3 linked regions of the Nothobranchius furzeri genome follow. The protein of the gene in region 3 interacts with the protein of the main gene of each other region in a pairwise test. Links are inferred from orthologs where the notes say so. Each region holds a gene or a part of one and is shown on either strand. Other genes may lie near its edges. The genes, in order: rnf25, amfra and ube2d4.

Region 1 (3,600 bases), on a different chromosome or scaffold from region 3:
GTCTGGTATTCAGGGGCAGGTGGTTAATGTAGGAATGGATGAGAGATGGAATCAGAACTGAGTAAAAGAGCAAAATCATTTCCAACATAAAATACACATTTTATTATAATATAGGTGTTTAATATAAGCCTTTTTCGACATGTCATTTGTGTTTGTTTTTAACTAAATGGCTGACTCAAACTTATGAATATTGAGTTGTTAGTAGTCAACCCATTTTTCTTTGCATGGAGTAAAGTTGTCAGTAAACACGATGACGTCAACAAATGTAAGCCGAAATCCACCGAATACTCCTGCTGACTATTTATAACGCCAGTTTTGTGTCTAGCCCTTAATAAACCAATGTAAAATCCAAAACATCATTCAATCGTGTGATTTACGAATGGAGTCTTGTGACAGCACTTCATTCAGTGTTTGGTTGCTCGTGTCCGAGGCTCTGACCCACTCACCAAAGCTGCAGTCACGGATTCCCACGCCTCAGCGAGCCCCTGGAGCGCTCCGGGCTCAGACATTTCCACCGAATCCGATTCCATCATCATTTCCTCCATTTTATGACACTTTCTTCACAAATGCCGAACCGGCTCCTGTAGATTCAGCATTTAAACCTCAGCATGTCTTGTCTTACCGCGGCGCTATGTGTAAAAAGCATGCCCCGTGTCTCAACCGTGTTTCAACGAGTTTACTAAATAATAACTTTTCCATTCAAGCAAATAGTAATTTACAATACAGATATGAACATGGTATGGCGGGTTGACTTCTTCTACTTTTTTTTATCACTTACATGCTACAGGGGTGGACACTGCCCCCTGCAGGTACCGTCCGTAAAAAGTATTTGTTGAGTTTGAATCGGTTTTAATGTTTACTCGCCCCCTCTAGCGGTTAGAATAATCACTACAGCCGGCCACAGACACAAGTTGACAGAACTGAACTACAAAATAAAACATTTCAAAATTGCTTATACAAACTCCACCAGGTGTCAGTAAAGGCCAAATGTTATGAAACTGTACTTATTTTTGTATAAAATTTAAATAAAATCTTTCGAAACGGATGTTAATATCAATAAATATTTCGACATATCTTAGAGAGTAATATAGATGCTTAATGTCTGTGAAGGTTCTCAGTCATCCAGGTCATTGTAGTCTAAGGAGCTTTGAAAGAAAAGCGTCTGGACTTCTTTGAGTTGCTTGAAGACAAAGCTCCTTAGACCATAGATGCTTAATGCACACAAATACAGCTATAAATAATAAATAAATAAATAAACATTTTTAAAAACTGGATCATGACATGTCTTTTAAACGCCGTCGTGTCTCTTATTTTGACAGGTTGTGTGAAAACCGTATCCGCCTTAGCAGCAGCTAGCAGCAGAGACATCATCATGGCAACCGAGTACGAGTGAGTTTGTTGATATGGCAAAAATTCCTTCAAAATATTCATGACACGCTTTGAATTTTACCCGCACGCTCCCGCACATTAAGGTTTGCTGTTCTCGGTACAATCGGATGAAATGTCGTAGGTGTTGTAGCTAGCTGAAGGGGAAGCTAACAGGTTACGTCAAAAGGGCCAGGCTAAAAACAGTAAATAAGCCGAAAACCGTTTTTGTTTACAGTGTTCAGTCTGAGATCGAGGTTCTGCAGTCCATCTATCTGGACGAGCTGAAGGTGGACAGAAGGGACGAGGGGTAAATCTGCTCATTTCAGAACATCTTTGTGTTATAAATCACTGGTTGGGTTATATGTGAGCAAATAATGATATGAAGACGTTAAATATTTGCAACAAAGGGATAAGAATGTCTCCCAAATCTATTTGATGGGAAAAAACTCAGCTGATTATGTTATATATATGTATATATATTTTTTAACTCTTACCATGGGTTTAATTTAATGACAGTCAACCAGAATTAAATGCATCTGTATAAAAAATTATTAGCAATCAAAACAAACATAATAGTATCTATTTTTCCAGGAAATGACTGAGTGATGAATTGGAAAGTGCAGCCAGTGTATTCATTAAACTGAGTAGACAATAGTGGTTCTCATTTGGTCCTAAGCAGAAATGTCTAGAAACATATTTTAATTTGGTGGGGCTTTAACTACCTTCGTGTGTCTGCTGTTGTGTTTTTGCTACAGGAGCTGGGAGGTGAGTCTGGTTCTGTACCCATCCACGGCGGAGGACTCTGTGTCTCAGTTTGTCCGACTCACTCTGACTTTGACCCTCAATCAGCAGGTATGTCCGAGGTTACCTCATGTGTGTGCACAGACAACGGTTAGTGCAGACGTAGATCATACACATTTTTAATAATAAACCAAAAAATGTGATATTTGTTTTGGAAAACAAACTAAGCACATGTCTTGGCTTCAGAAGCTAGTGCCTCTCTAGGGGCAAACATAACCTTCGGTGTTTGTCTTGTATAATATTATTACACGACATTTTATGACTCGTGCCCTTTAGATTACAACAGGCTACAGCCTGCTCCAGACTAACAAAGTCATTATTTCATTGTTCTCTCTCTAACTGGATCTGACTCACTCTGCTGTCTCTGTTGGTTCAGTACCCCTCATCATCTCCTGTCATCTCCATCCGTAACCCCCGTGGGCTTTCTGACGATATACTCAGCAGGTAACACGATGTTTTATTCACAGCTTCATTCCAAAGAAACTGCCCACATTCTGCTTAAAATCTTTTACAAATCTGAGTTTTTCTGCTCAGCGTCCAAAAATGTCTTCAGCTGGAGGCTGAGTCGTGGCTCGGTTCACCAGTCTTATACCAGCTCATCGAGGTCAGAACATGAATCCACCTGTTATATAATACTCCGTGTTCTCTGTTCACTGATTTTCTTCACTGTTTTTCTCCTTCAGAAAGCAAAAGAGATCCTGACTGAAAGCAACATTCCTCATGGAAACTGCGTCATCTGCCTGTATGATTTTAAGGTAAGCTGTTTCCCATCTGCCCGCCTGTCATGACCATTTGCTCTGATCTGTGCTGTTCGTTTGGCGTCTGAACTTTAATCCAAAGATTTAACAGTCGGTTATAAACACTCTTCATGAATTGTGCTCCCTCAGGAGGGCGAGGCGTTCACCAAGACGAGCTGCTATCACTACTTCCACTCTCACTGTCTCGGCCGCTACGCCAGTCACTCTGAGAGGGAGCTCCGCCAGAGGAGGAGGGAGCTGGAGGAGGACAAGACCAGGGACAAAACCGACCATCAGGTCACAAATCGGCACACGCCAACCAAAGTCCAAGGTCTCCTGAGTCCTTACTCTGATTGTCTGACAGGAGCTGACTGTGCTGTGCCCGGTGTGCCGAGAGCCTCTCATGTATGACATCGATCAGCTGTTGTCATCTCCTGCACCACAGCTGCCTGAGGTAAAACTCTGATTTACAGACCTGACGTGCCCCTCATCAGTGACAGAAACCTAACAGGCTTCTCCTCTCAGCTCGACGAGGCAGCGGTCGGGTCAGACTTTCAGCAGAAGTGGCGTGAGCTCCAGAAGCTGTTGGAGAAACAAAGATCTAAAGGTGGGATCATCGACCCTGAGGTGGAGTCAAATCGCTTTTTGATTCATATCCACGAGGTAAGAATGAAGTCGGACTCAAAAGAATGTT
Region 2 (8,329 bases), on a different chromosome or scaffold from region 3:
GGAAGGAAAGAGGCAATCCTGATGGTTCTGCATCAAGCTGTTTCCTAACTGTTGCTCGACAAGTCCTGCTGTGATGAGCTGTCGCTGGATATGTTTTCACTGTAGCTGCCCCTGGCACCATAAAAGAGGCTTGATGGGTGCATAAACTTTATTGTTTCTTTCTTTCTTGTTATTCACTTTAGACCGTGCACTTTGCACTGTCAAAACTGAAAATGACAATGTACAAAACACAATCATGTACAAAACAAATCGAGAGCAGCAATTCAAACACAAATCATCACCGCAATACAAATTAGGGATGTCCCGATACAATTTTTTCACTTCCGATATGATACCGATATTGCAACTTTCAGTACTGACCAATACCGATATGAATCCAATACGATATCAGCACAAAACATACATACTTTTACCTAATTTGGAGTGTGGAATGTATGAAAGGCTTGATCAAGTGATATTACTCAATCGAAGAACAAGAGCCCATACCAGTACGGATGAAAAAAAATTGTTTTTTTTTTAACCATTGGTTGCAAAAATGTGAATCTTAACATATCGAAGATTTTTGATGCAGTCTGATGTAATCCAATACACTGTTTTGGTGCCGATACCAAATTATTTCTGACATCGAAACGGGACATCCCTAATACAAATCATAATAGGTAATGAGTATAAATCACAAAAACAAGTGCATCTTGCTCTGCTGGCCAACGACGCTAATCAATCATAGCAGTTCCACATATGGCGGCCAATCTGCTGACTACAGGTAACAACTGAACGAACCAAGTCAGCAAGTCAGGTGCACAGCAAAGCAAATTTTCTGGGTAAATACTAATATGAGGGTGTATAATATGGGACTTTAAACATGTGATGTGTGTGTGTTCAAGTCTACAAATGTGGCTTGAATTGACCATTCTGCCGTCTCATCAGCTGCACTTTTTACCAAGATGTGCATAGGCAAGGGTCAGAGTTTGTGTGAAATTGTGCACATTTTCTGTGATGTTTTTGTTTTCTATGAATCACAAAGTCTTGTATAGAAAGTGCCTTAAGTGACTTTCTGTTTTGTTTGTAAATTAAACTTTATAAAAAAAGCCCCAACACCTTTGTAATTGGGTAGAACTTTACAGGGAGTGCAAAATGATTAGGCAAGTTGTATTTTTGAGGAATAATTTTATTATTGAACAACCACCATGTTCTCAATGAACCCAAAAAACTCATTAATAAAGCTGAATGTTTTTGGAAGTAGTTCTTAGTTTTTTTTTAGTTTTAGCTATTTTAGGGGGATATCTGTGTGTGTGCAGGTGACTATTACTGTGCATAATTATTAGGCAACTTAACAAAAAACAAATATATACCCATTTCAATTATTTATTTTTACCAGTGAAACCAATATAACATATCCACATTCCCAAATATACATTTCTGACATTCAAAAACAATACAAAAACAAATCAGCGACCAATATAGCCACCTTTCTTTGCAAGGACACTCAAAAGTCTACCATTCATGGATTCTGTCAGTGTTTTGATCTGTTCACCGTCAACACTGCATGCAGCAGCAACCACAGCCTCCCAGACACTGTTCAGAGAGGTGTACTGTTTTCCCTCCTTGTAAATCTCACATTTGATGATGGACCACAGGTTCTCAATGGGGTTCAGATCAGGTGAACAAGGAGGCCATGTCATCAGTTTTTCTTCTTTTATACCCTTTCTTGCCAGCCACACTTTGGAGTACTTGGACGCGTGTGATGGAGCGTTGTCCTGCATGAAAATCATGTTTTTCTTGAAGGATGTAGACTTCTTCCTGTACCACTGCTTGAAGAAGGTGTCTTCCAGAAACTGGCTGTAGGACTGGGAGTTGAGCTTGACTCCATCCTCAACCCGAAAAGGCCCCACAAGCTCATCTTTGATGATACCAGCCCAAACCAGTACTCCACCTCCACCTTGCTGGCGTCTGAGTCAGAATGGAGCTCTCTGCCCTTTACCAATCCAGCCACGGGCCCATCCATCTGGCCCATCAAGACTCACTCTCATTTCATCAGTCCATAAAACTTAGAACAATCAGTCTGGAGATATTTCTTGGCCCAGTCTTGACGTTTCAGCTTGTGTGTCTTGTTCAGTGGTGGTCGTCTTTCAGCCTTTCTTACCTTGGCCATGTCTCTGAGTTTCGCACACCTTGTGCTTTTGGGCACTCCAGTGATGTTGCAGCTCTGAAATATGGCCAAACTGGTGGCAAGTGTCATCTTGGCAGCTGCACGCTTGACTTTTCTCAGTTCACGGGCAGTTATTTTGCGCCTTGGTTTGTCCACACGCTTCTTGCGACCCTGTTGACTATTTAGAATGAAACGCTTGATTGTTCGATGATCACGCTTCAGAAGCATTGCAATTTTAAGACTGCTGCATCCCTCTGCAAGATATCTCACCATTTTTTACTTTTCTGAGCCTGCCAAGTCCTTCTTTTGACCCATTTTGCCAAAGGAAAGGAAGTAGCCTAATAATTACGCACACCTGATATAGGGTGTTGATATCATTAGACCACACCCCTTCTCATTACAGAGATGCACATCACCTAATATGCTAAATTGGTATTAGGCTTTCGGGCCTATACAGCTTGGAGTAAGACAACATGCATGAAGAGGATGATGTGGACAAAATACTCATTTGCCTAATAATTCAGCACTCCCTGTAAATTCGCGTCTGTGCTGCTATAATGTCATGAACTAGAACCTCTGAGGAATATTTCCACCTTGATGAACCTATGGCAAGAAGAATAAAGGCCCTTCGAAGGCAAAATAGAGACCAACCTGGTACAAGCAAGGCGCTTCTATAAAATGGGCAGTGGGTTTGTATTAGTTCAAGTCAGTTGTTTTTAATCACCTCCATGATACAGTTTCAGCATAGACAGAAGTGAAATATATTTCTCCACATATCATTTTGCTTGAATTAAAAATTAAAATAGCAATGAAATTAATAAAAATTCAATAACAGCAAGCATGGATTAGCCTAGAAGTCTAGACAGAGTGTAGCCGAAGCAAAACGATGTTGCACTGCATCTCTGCATATATATTCACATAAATAGGGCTTGCCAGGAAACTTTTTTGATTTTGCAGAAATGCAGAGTCTCAACATTAGTTTTTTCCTTTTAAACCAGCTGACATAAAAAAAAACTTAATGCAAAATAAATGATTAACCATAAACTGTCTTAAACACTAAGTGAAGATTCCGTACCTATTTCAATTTTCCTCGAGAAAAAAACCACAGCAGTTAAAACATTACGATATGTTGCAAATTGTAGCGGTGAATGAATGAATGAATGAATGAATGAATGACGGAGCTGGTAAGGTCGGGTTATTTTCCATTACTGTGACTTTAAATTTGTCCCGATGACGTCATATCTCGGCTAGTTGCCTGCTAACTGTCGGTGAGATAAACAACAACAATGTTGACGACTGCTGTGTTTTTCGTGTAGAACCCGTAAAGTCCAGCCCAGCTCAGAGCACACCACCCTGGATCTCGTGTTTACCTTTGTGGCTATCTGTAAGTGGCAACCCAACACAGGCCTATTAGGAGTTTATCAACAACGCGTAAGTACGTAGCTAACGTCAGCTAGCTTGAAAGCTAGCATTAGGCAACACTAGGGAAATAACTTAACACTTTTGGGCGTGAAATACTATTGTTTATTTTTTATTCTCCTTTGATACTGTTTGCAATTTCAGCCACCCAGTTATACATTTTATTACATTATTTTTAATTAAGCTGCGGTTTTACTTCACTAGCAATGGGATTGTCGATCCTCATCTGGAGGTTAGCCTAGCCATTTTCTCATTTTAGCCTTTCTTTTAGTTTTAAAAAGGTAAAGATAGTATAACACCCTCGAAATGGCCGCTTGTTGCATGTGTTTATCCCTAATTAAGTAACTGCGATCGCCAGCACAAGGGTGATTATATAGTGCTCACACCTTGCTCATTAAAGTTTGGCTAACCTTTGCTAACTCCCTCCCAGGCAGGTGGTGGAGTGACATAGTTTTTACAAGTCAGGAAGTGGACCGCAAGCACTGCAATGCCTCTGCTGTTTATGGAGAGGTTTCCATGGCCCAGCTTGCAGACCTACACAGCCCTGAGTGTGGCTTTGCTGGCTGGAAGCATCTTCAGTGCCTACACTACTGTCACTGACCCGGGCTTTGGGGCCTTGGAGACCGAGGATACACCAGCTCCATCCGAATTTAACCTTGAACATCATCTAAGTAGTGCAGTTAGCAACACAGACTTGGCAAGAACTGTCCTGTGGTATCTTGTTACTGACAGTCTCTTTGTATGGGTGAGCATCCTTCCCATTACGAGTTTTCACAGGTGATATAATATTCCTCATGCAATAAACTAATAATCATGCCACTCTCCACATTCTTGCAGGTCTTGGTCAACACATTCTGCTGTTCTTTAATGTTAATTGCTAAAATGATCCAGTATGTGGTGTTTGGGCCACTCAGAGTCATTGAAAAGCAGGTGAATCTGTTTGTTTTGCTCAAATATCTGGAATAAATATATTTTCTAAAATGTACAACTTACTTAGTGCTTATTGTCAGAAAAAAGCATCTTATTTTGCTTTTTATTTTTCTCCCAGCATCTCAAGGATAAATTCTGGAATTTCATCTTTTACAAGTTCATTTTCATATTTGGAGTATTGAACGTGCAAACTGTGGAGGAGGTGGTCATGTGGTGCTTGTGGTTCTCTGCCCTCGTTTTTCTACATCTCATGGTACAGCTCTGCAAAGATCGTTTTGAATATGTAAGTATGTTTTATCACACCATCTCTTTTCACTGCATCCACCTCCCCATACATGTTTCAGGGTCATCAAGGGCTGAATTATACAGGTTTGCAAGTTATTAGCTCCAATTGAGAATTAAGTAAAACTGGTTAATTTGAGAATACCAACATTTTGGTTGCATGGGACTGCATTGTTTTTGTATGTTTCAGTGGTTTTCAATCATTTACACACCACCACATGCAGCTTGTTATCACTTTAAATGTATAGAAAATTAAAAATCAAAAATCTAAATGTGTTTTTAAATATTTTCTAGCAGAAGGAGTTCAGTCTATTCAATAAAATACCTAAATACCGCAATTTAAAACCTTCTCCTTTGTTTTGCACACAGGATATGTCTTGTTTCATTAAGATTTAAATTGTAAAAAAGTAAAAATACATGATTTTTGAGTAAATCCAACTAACAAACCTCTTTGCACCCTGAAAGTCCTTCAGAAGTCTGAGTGCAGATGTACTTATTCCAGCTCCAGCTCTATAAATAGCTCCATATTCTGACATGTTTGCCTGCTGGTAGAGTTTCAGTTGCTACATTAACACTCTCCTGTCTCACAAGATGAGAAAAACAAAATATCAAATTGAATTACCATCATGCAAGCTGTGACATTTAAGAAAAACTCCTAAACATAATGTAGCTATAATGTAACAGTGACTAGTTATTTTTTTCTACCTGTTTTGTGTAAATATTTTATATTACACACACTTTCTCTTCATATAAAACAATGAGATGGTCTTTGTCTTTATAAACTCAAGCACGTCGGTTATGTTCAACCCAGCTGTTTTCCTGTTTCCATCCGTCTGCAGGTTTGTGCCTTTGGGGGTATATGGCACATTCAGCAGCTCTAGATAAAAGATTTGGCGTGTGTTTTGGGTAATTTGGTGAGATTGTGTGGTACATATGACACCCATGTCATGTCTTGTAGCTCAGCTGTTGTAATTATCATAAGTAGTTCCTAAATAATTTATTTTGTGGGCTGTACATGATATTAGGGGAAACCTTTGAAGGATTATTATTATATTTGAGTTTTTGGATCGTATGCATGTCGTACAACTTGCTTTTCTTACTTTTAGCAACTGAACCACCTTTAGTTTTCTCCTGTTTTTAATAGGACAGTTAACTGCTTTGAACCTAGAGTTGAAAGTTGTCCCCAACTCTGTGGAAAAAAACATTGTTTTTTCTTGTACAGTTGAACACCAGAGGTGTTCAGAAGGGTGTGCAGACTTTCCCCCACATGTGCTGTTTACACACATATGTCACAGTGGGAGGTTTTCTGCTGGAGGGATGCGTTTACAGCATGAAGCACGAAGGAGGAGGTGCAGCAAAGTGTCATTTGTCAGGAGTGCAAAGGACATTGGTGTATGTCACCCTGGAATGTTTCTACAGACGTGTCTGAGTAAAAAACATTTACAATGTGCTTATATAGTGCATATTGTGTATTTTTAATTGTTTTGCAAACAAGGTTGAGTTTTACAGCATGTTTCAAAATGCACAACAAAAAGCAAAAGAGGGAAGTCAGTCATTTATACTGAAAACAGAAGCTTCAGACTTTCAGGTGCTTCTTGATTCTATTTGTTTCTGTTTTCTGTCAAACCCATCAACATACATACAATATATACATATTGTCAAACCTTCAGCTTTTATCTAAGCCAATGCTTTATTTTTAATGTTTATCTTTAACAAAGTGCTTTGACAGCACACATGAGGTGGAACATATACTAGAGTTTTTATTTGTGATTTATCCACACATTTTATGTTGAATCCTGTGAGACTTTTCAGGTTTCCCCAGAAATCCTGATCTTATAGGCCCATTTCTTAATGTGCTGACATCATCTTTCCCACAATGCTTCATTACAAAGAGACCTACAGAACATTCTAGAAAACCAAACTGGATCATGAGTAGAAAACAATCATGAAGATACAGACTTGCTATGCATGTGTGGTTTGGTTTAACCAAAAGTTAGATTAATAAGTTCATCTGTTCAAAAAAAAAAGTCAGGAATTAAAGGAGCAATATGTAAGAATTCTGCAAAGAAATAACAAAACAGTCTTATGCCTCACTCTTGTTGGAAGGAAGGTTTCCATTGAAGCAGAACCTGTGAGGTTTCCAAGTCTGTGCCAGTCTAACCCTGTAGCATTCACATTTGTAATTTGGCACCAGAGTTATTTATAAAACTAAAGCCAGTAAACAGCAGCAACCCAGAAGTTCTTTCTTGTACCCCTAAGAAGTCATGGCATCTTTTTGTTTTACTCCCAACATCAGATGAATCAGGCTAGAGGCTAATGGTGAGCTAACAATGCTAATGGTGAATTAGAAACAAATACGGTAGTTGGGTCTAAAAATATCTCAAGCTACTTTTTCAATTACCATCAACTCCATATTACAGGTGCTGGCCAGTAAATTAGAATATCATCAAAAGGTTGAAAATATTTCAGTAATTCCATTCAAAACGTGAAACTTGTACATTATATTCATGCAATGCACACAGACCAATGTATTTCCGATGTTTATTACGTTTAATTTTGATATTTATAGGTGACAACCAATGAAAACATCAAATCTGGTATCTCAGAAAATTAGAATATTCTAAAGGCCAATGAAAAAATGTTTGTTTCTCTAATGTTGGCCAACTGAAAAGAATGAACATGAAAAGAATGTGCATGTATAGCACTCAATACTTAGTCGGGGCTCCTTTTGCCTCAATAACTGCAGTAATGCGGTGTGGCATGGACTCGATCAGTCTGTGGCACTGCTCAGGTGTTATGAGAGCCCAGGTTGCTCTGATAGTCGTCTTCAGATCCTCTGCATTGTTGGGTCTAGCGTATTGCATCCTCCGCTTCACAATACCCCATAGATTTTCTATGGGGTTAAGGTCAGGCGAGTTTGCTGGCCAATCAAGGACAGGGATACCATGGTCCTTGAACCAGGTGCTGGTGGTTTTGGCACTGTGTGCAGGTGCCAAGTCCTGTTGAAAGGTGAAGTCTGCATCCCCATAAAGTTGGTCAGCAGCAGGAAGCATGAAGTGCTCTAAAACTTCCTGGTAGACGGCTGCATTGACCCTGGACCTCAGGAAACAGAGTGGGCCAACACCGGCAGATGACATGGCACCCCACACCATCACTGACGGTGGAAACTTTACACTGGACCTCATGCAACGTGGATTCTGTGCTTCTCCGCTCTTCCTCCAGACTCTGGGTCCTTGATTTCCAAAGGAAATGCAGAACTTGCTTTCATCAGAAAACATAACTTTGGACCACTCAGCATCAGTCCAGTCCTTTTTGTCCTTGGCCCAGGCGAGACGCTTCTTGCGCTGTTTCTTGTTCAAGAGTGGCTTGACACACGGAATGCGACACCTGAATCCCATGTCTTTCATGAGTCTCCTCGTGGTGGTTCTTGAAGCGCTGACTCCAGCTGCAGTCCACTCTTTGTGGATCTCCCCCACATTTTTGAATGGGTTTGTCGTCACAATTCTCTGCAGGGTGCGGTTATCCCTAGAGCTTGTACACTTTTTTCTA
Region 3 (3,570 bases):
ATAGCGGTGTCAGATTCTGAGCAACTACAGCAATCAATTTCCCTCTGGGATTAATAACGTATTTTTGAACTGAATTTAATTAAAATTCAAATGCAGTGCAGAGTTTTTACCCGACAACAGCACAACACTGACAGTTTTAGGCAGAAAATTTAAATTTTAACTAAATTGCACTAAAGTGCAAAACTATTGACTGCATGTGTCTGCAGCATGATTAGACACGCATTTATATAGTTTATCAGGGAAAAAAAGGTTGATTTGGGGTGACTTGCTCTTTAACAACAGCCTCATCACTCCTACTAAATTTTGGCTTGCCATTGTTAAAACAAAATACAGAAAGACAAAATTGCGAAATTGCCCATCTGGATAAAGTGAATTTGATTGGGGTTAGAAAATAAGTAATCATTCATCTATCACCCACATGCAGTAAGTAGCTATTTTCATGTCACTAAAATGCATTAATGTTTTACTGAACTGAAGAGGGAATTGGGGGCCCAGTGTATCCCATATTTGTCAATCTTAGTATTTTTATACGCTTTTTCGATAAGCCTAAGCACTTTTGAAACCTGTACTTTTTACTTCTACCCAAGTATCATGCTTGAATTGATCCTTCAACTTCAACAGAAGTCTTTAAACCCCCTAGTATCTAAACTTGAGTAGTAAATATGTATATTTTTAAAGCCTCTGTTCTGTAGTCAATAAAATGACCCTTAAAATAGAAATCGTGACACTACCGACAGTGCCATTGTAGTTTTTAAACGAAAGCTCGCGATAGTAACTGTTTTCTCGGCACCGAGAAGAGAGAGGAATAGAAAGCTAAATATCTAAGTTGTTTTGTAGCTCTCTGACGAACCGAAAATTAATAGGTCGTGGGGAAATATTTGTCATAGAGCGAAAAAGCCGAAATTTACTGGATGTTAGACGTAATTTCATACCTGTAACTGAAGTGAGGTTTGATAGAACGCGGCTACAGAATCCAAATTGTATGTCTAAGGTGCTAACTGTTAGCTGACAGGCTACCTAGCATAGCCGCCGAAGCAATGGCGTTGAAAAGAATTCAGAAGGTGAGTGTTTATATTTATTAAGTTTAAGACATGATTCAGATTCGATTTTTCTTCCTCTTTTCGAACCGTTTTGATAAAGTACATGTGTGTGGTGTTTTAGAGGTGAACTAGCTACGCCGTTGAGCGTTTTGTTCATTTAAAAAATAATTCAAAGACAAAGGCGAGCTGACCAACGGTGGCCCGGTTTGTGCTTGGCTAACATTAACGTAACTACCCAATTAAGCTTTCATTTGGGTTATTACATCCTGCTCGTCTGACATTTTTCATATTAATCCTGAAACTTTGATAAGGACTCTGGAGTAAGAAGTTGTTACTGTTACTTCGTGGGAGGTTAGCTTTCCTGCTAACGGTTGTAACGTGTAGTCCTTGCCTGGATTTTGTTCTTGATCACTAATTTATCAGTCACATTTATCGTTTTAGTTTACCTTGTAAAATTATGTATGACGACGTATAAATTCGCTGAATGACAGCTGCTCGATTGTTGCCAAAACTGAACCCTAGAGTCAGTGTTGCCATATATGGAATGGCAAATGGGGCACTGGAACAGGCCATGGTGTGTATTTATATAATAGGCTTCCTTACATGAGATGTTAAATAACAGGCTTAATTTCTGTTCAAGCACCGTGTTTTGCTGTCTGTGCTTTTGTGTGTGATGCAAATGTAGATTGGTTACTTGGGCTGTGGACTGAGTTAATTTGATTTAGTTTCGTTTTTGTCCATTTTGTGTTGTATTTTTAATATTTGTAGTTATTATGTGTTTGCTAAACTAAACAGCTTGTCCTTATTTTCTGGAAGTATGTCTATAAAACAACATTTTGTGTTGCACAATGATGTCATGTCTGAAGTTGAATTTTATTTGTACTGAAGATAAAAGAGGAAAAGTGTTGCAAATAGGGCTGCACTGTGCATCGCAAATGTATCGTCATCACACTATCAGCATACACAATACTCATATTGCAAAGAACAGAAAAAAACTGCAATAAAGGATCATCTTAATTTTTTTCTACACATAATAAAGCATATTGTCAGTCAAACTGAAGCATTACGTTTTTGACTGATCAAATAGTCCTTCACCTGTTTGGCCAATTGGGTGAGTTCTTATAGGTTAGATACCGCCACCTAGGTAGACAGCACTTCATTTGGATGGCTAGCAAACACCAGAGTTAGCTGTGTTCTGCTCTTTCTGCCGACTATTCTTTTCCTGGGATCCCCTGAGTCTTTATTTTATTTTTATGATTTGGTTTTTGATACATTTTTTTTGTTCTTGAGTTACTATTTATGTATTGCAAGTCATATAATCATCGCAAAAATAATCACTGTAATTGTGCATCGTAGGTTTTCCTAATATTGTGCAGCCCTAGTGTTAAATACATTGTTTTGCAGGAACTTCAACCACAAGTTGTTGTAGGAATGTATAAATGAATATAAAACTTTGCAGCTCTGACAAATACCTCTCCATATCTTTAAACCGCAGATGTTACAGTGCTTGCTTTAACAGATATGTTCACATAAATGAACCCTGCTGTATGTTTATTGCAGCATTTAATTTGTAACTGTTACTTACACAAGCTGTTGTCTTTTTTTCCCTAATATATGAACTTGAGAAACTGAAAAGGCACATTTTGTAGTAAAAGCATGAAATTCTGCAAAAGTGTTTTAAAGAGCAAGTCAAAGAATGGTGATGTAGGACTTGGGAGTGCAGGCTGCTGCCTGAGGGGTGGTTGGAGACGGTGTCTCCATGCTGCTTTGTTTTGGTCACTTATGTGCGTGAGGCGAGTGGTGTTACGACCCTTCCTGGGGAGTTTGGCTCGTGTGCAAAAAGGAAGGGACAATAACACAGGATTTAAAAGTTAAAATGATGATCAGGTTTATTTACAACAACAACAAAAAACCATAAATCTTTCCATCCACAGGTTGGGAATAATAAAACTAATTCTGCCTGTGGGGAATTAAAACAAAAGTACAAATAACTAGGGATGTCCCGCAGGGCAAAGATTACTGGGTTCTGGACCAAAATAAGAATCTCCAAAGGTCCAAACTCTAAACTGGGTGGTTAAACCAAACTCAAGGTGAAATTTTAAACTAAACCGAAAACCCACGACACTCTAAATGTAATAAAAGGGAGATCTACGCCACAAAAAAGATGAACTCTAAACCAAATCGTAACAGCTTATCCTATCGCAAGAAGCTGTTAGCGAAAATGCTAACAGTAGCTTTACCAACATTAAGTTCAAGTTACCAAGTTTAAATAAACCAAAAATACCCAGCAGCAAACAGACCAGCATGGAGGAGAGACTGCTACCACAAAAACAGCTCTCCTAATGTCTGAAAGAAGCTCCTTTATGAAGGGAGAAACTCTCCCGGTGATTTTCTACATCTGCGGTAGACACGAAGCAGCGCATTTGATCCCAGAAGTTGTTGTCCGTTGCCGGGAGATGAAGGCGGGCAAAACAGGCAAAGAATCTAGTAGCAGACGGACATTGTTCCAGTTCTTCGGTATTTGGCGGAG

What was found.
Region 1: the proteins of ube2d4 (region 3) and rnf25 interact in binary tests that used the Homo sapiens proteins (3 or more experiments, as listed by UniProt). The link is inferred for Nothobranchius furzeri from reciprocal best matches to the Homo sapiens genes UBE2D4 and RNF25.
Region 2: the proteins of ube2d4 (region 3) and amfra interact in a two-hybrid assay, tested with the Homo sapiens proteins (2 studies listed by BioGRID and IntAct). The link is inferred for Nothobranchius furzeri from reciprocal best matches to the Homo sapiens genes UBE2D4 and AMFR.

The regions. Positions count from the first base shown.
Region 1 is NC_091745.1:17,479,773-17,483,372, reverse strand, and holds the start of rnf25 (E3 ubiquitin-protein ligase RNF25), read left to right. Parts: upstream 1-1,099; 5' UTR 1,100-1,276; coding exon 1,277-1,389; intron 1,390-1,603; coding exon 1,604-1,675; intron 1,676-2,123; coding exon 2,124-2,220; intron 2,221-2,545; coding exon 2,546-2,613; intron 2,614-2,703; coding exon 2,704-2,773; intron 2,774-2,852; coding exon 2,853-2,924; intron 2,925-3,056; coding exon 3,057-3,203; intron 3,204-3,270; coding exon 3,271-3,360; intron 3,361-3,431; coding exon 3,432-3,569; intron 3,570-3,600. Other genes in the region: anapc2 (anaphase-promoting complex subunit 2), read right to left, coding at 447-545. UniProt on the Homo sapiens protein: E3 ubiquitin-protein ligase that plays a key role in the RNF14-RNF25 translation quality control pathway, a pathway that takes place when a ribosome has stalled during translation, and which promotes ubiquitination and degradation of translation factors on stalled ribosomes.
Region 2 is NC_091749.1:54,391,147-54,399,475, forward strand, and holds the start of amfra (E3 ubiquitin-protein ligase AMFR), read left to right. Parts: upstream 1-3,393; 5' UTR 3,394-3,533; intron 3,534-3,998; 5' UTR 3,999-4,055; coding exon 4,056-4,313; intron 4,314-4,405; coding exon 4,406-4,498; intron 4,499-4,616; coding exon 4,617-4,781; intron 4,782-8,329. UniProt on the Homo sapiens protein: E3 ubiquitin-protein ligase that mediates the polyubiquitination of lysine and cysteine residues on target proteins, such as CD3D, CYP3A4, CFTR, INSIG1, SOAT2/ACAT2 and APOB for proteasomal degradation.
Region 3 is NC_091757.1:38,231,081-38,234,650, forward strand, and holds the start of ube2d4 (ubiquitin-conjugating enzyme E2 D4), read left to right. Parts: upstream 1-770; 5' UTR 771-1,037; coding exon 1,038-1,061; intron 1,062-3,570. UniProt on the Homo sapiens protein: Accepts ubiquitin from the E1 complex and catalyzes its covalent attachment to other proteins. In vitro able to promote polyubiquitination using all 7 ubiquitin Lys residues, but may prefer 'Lys-11' and 'Lys-48'-linked polyubiquitination.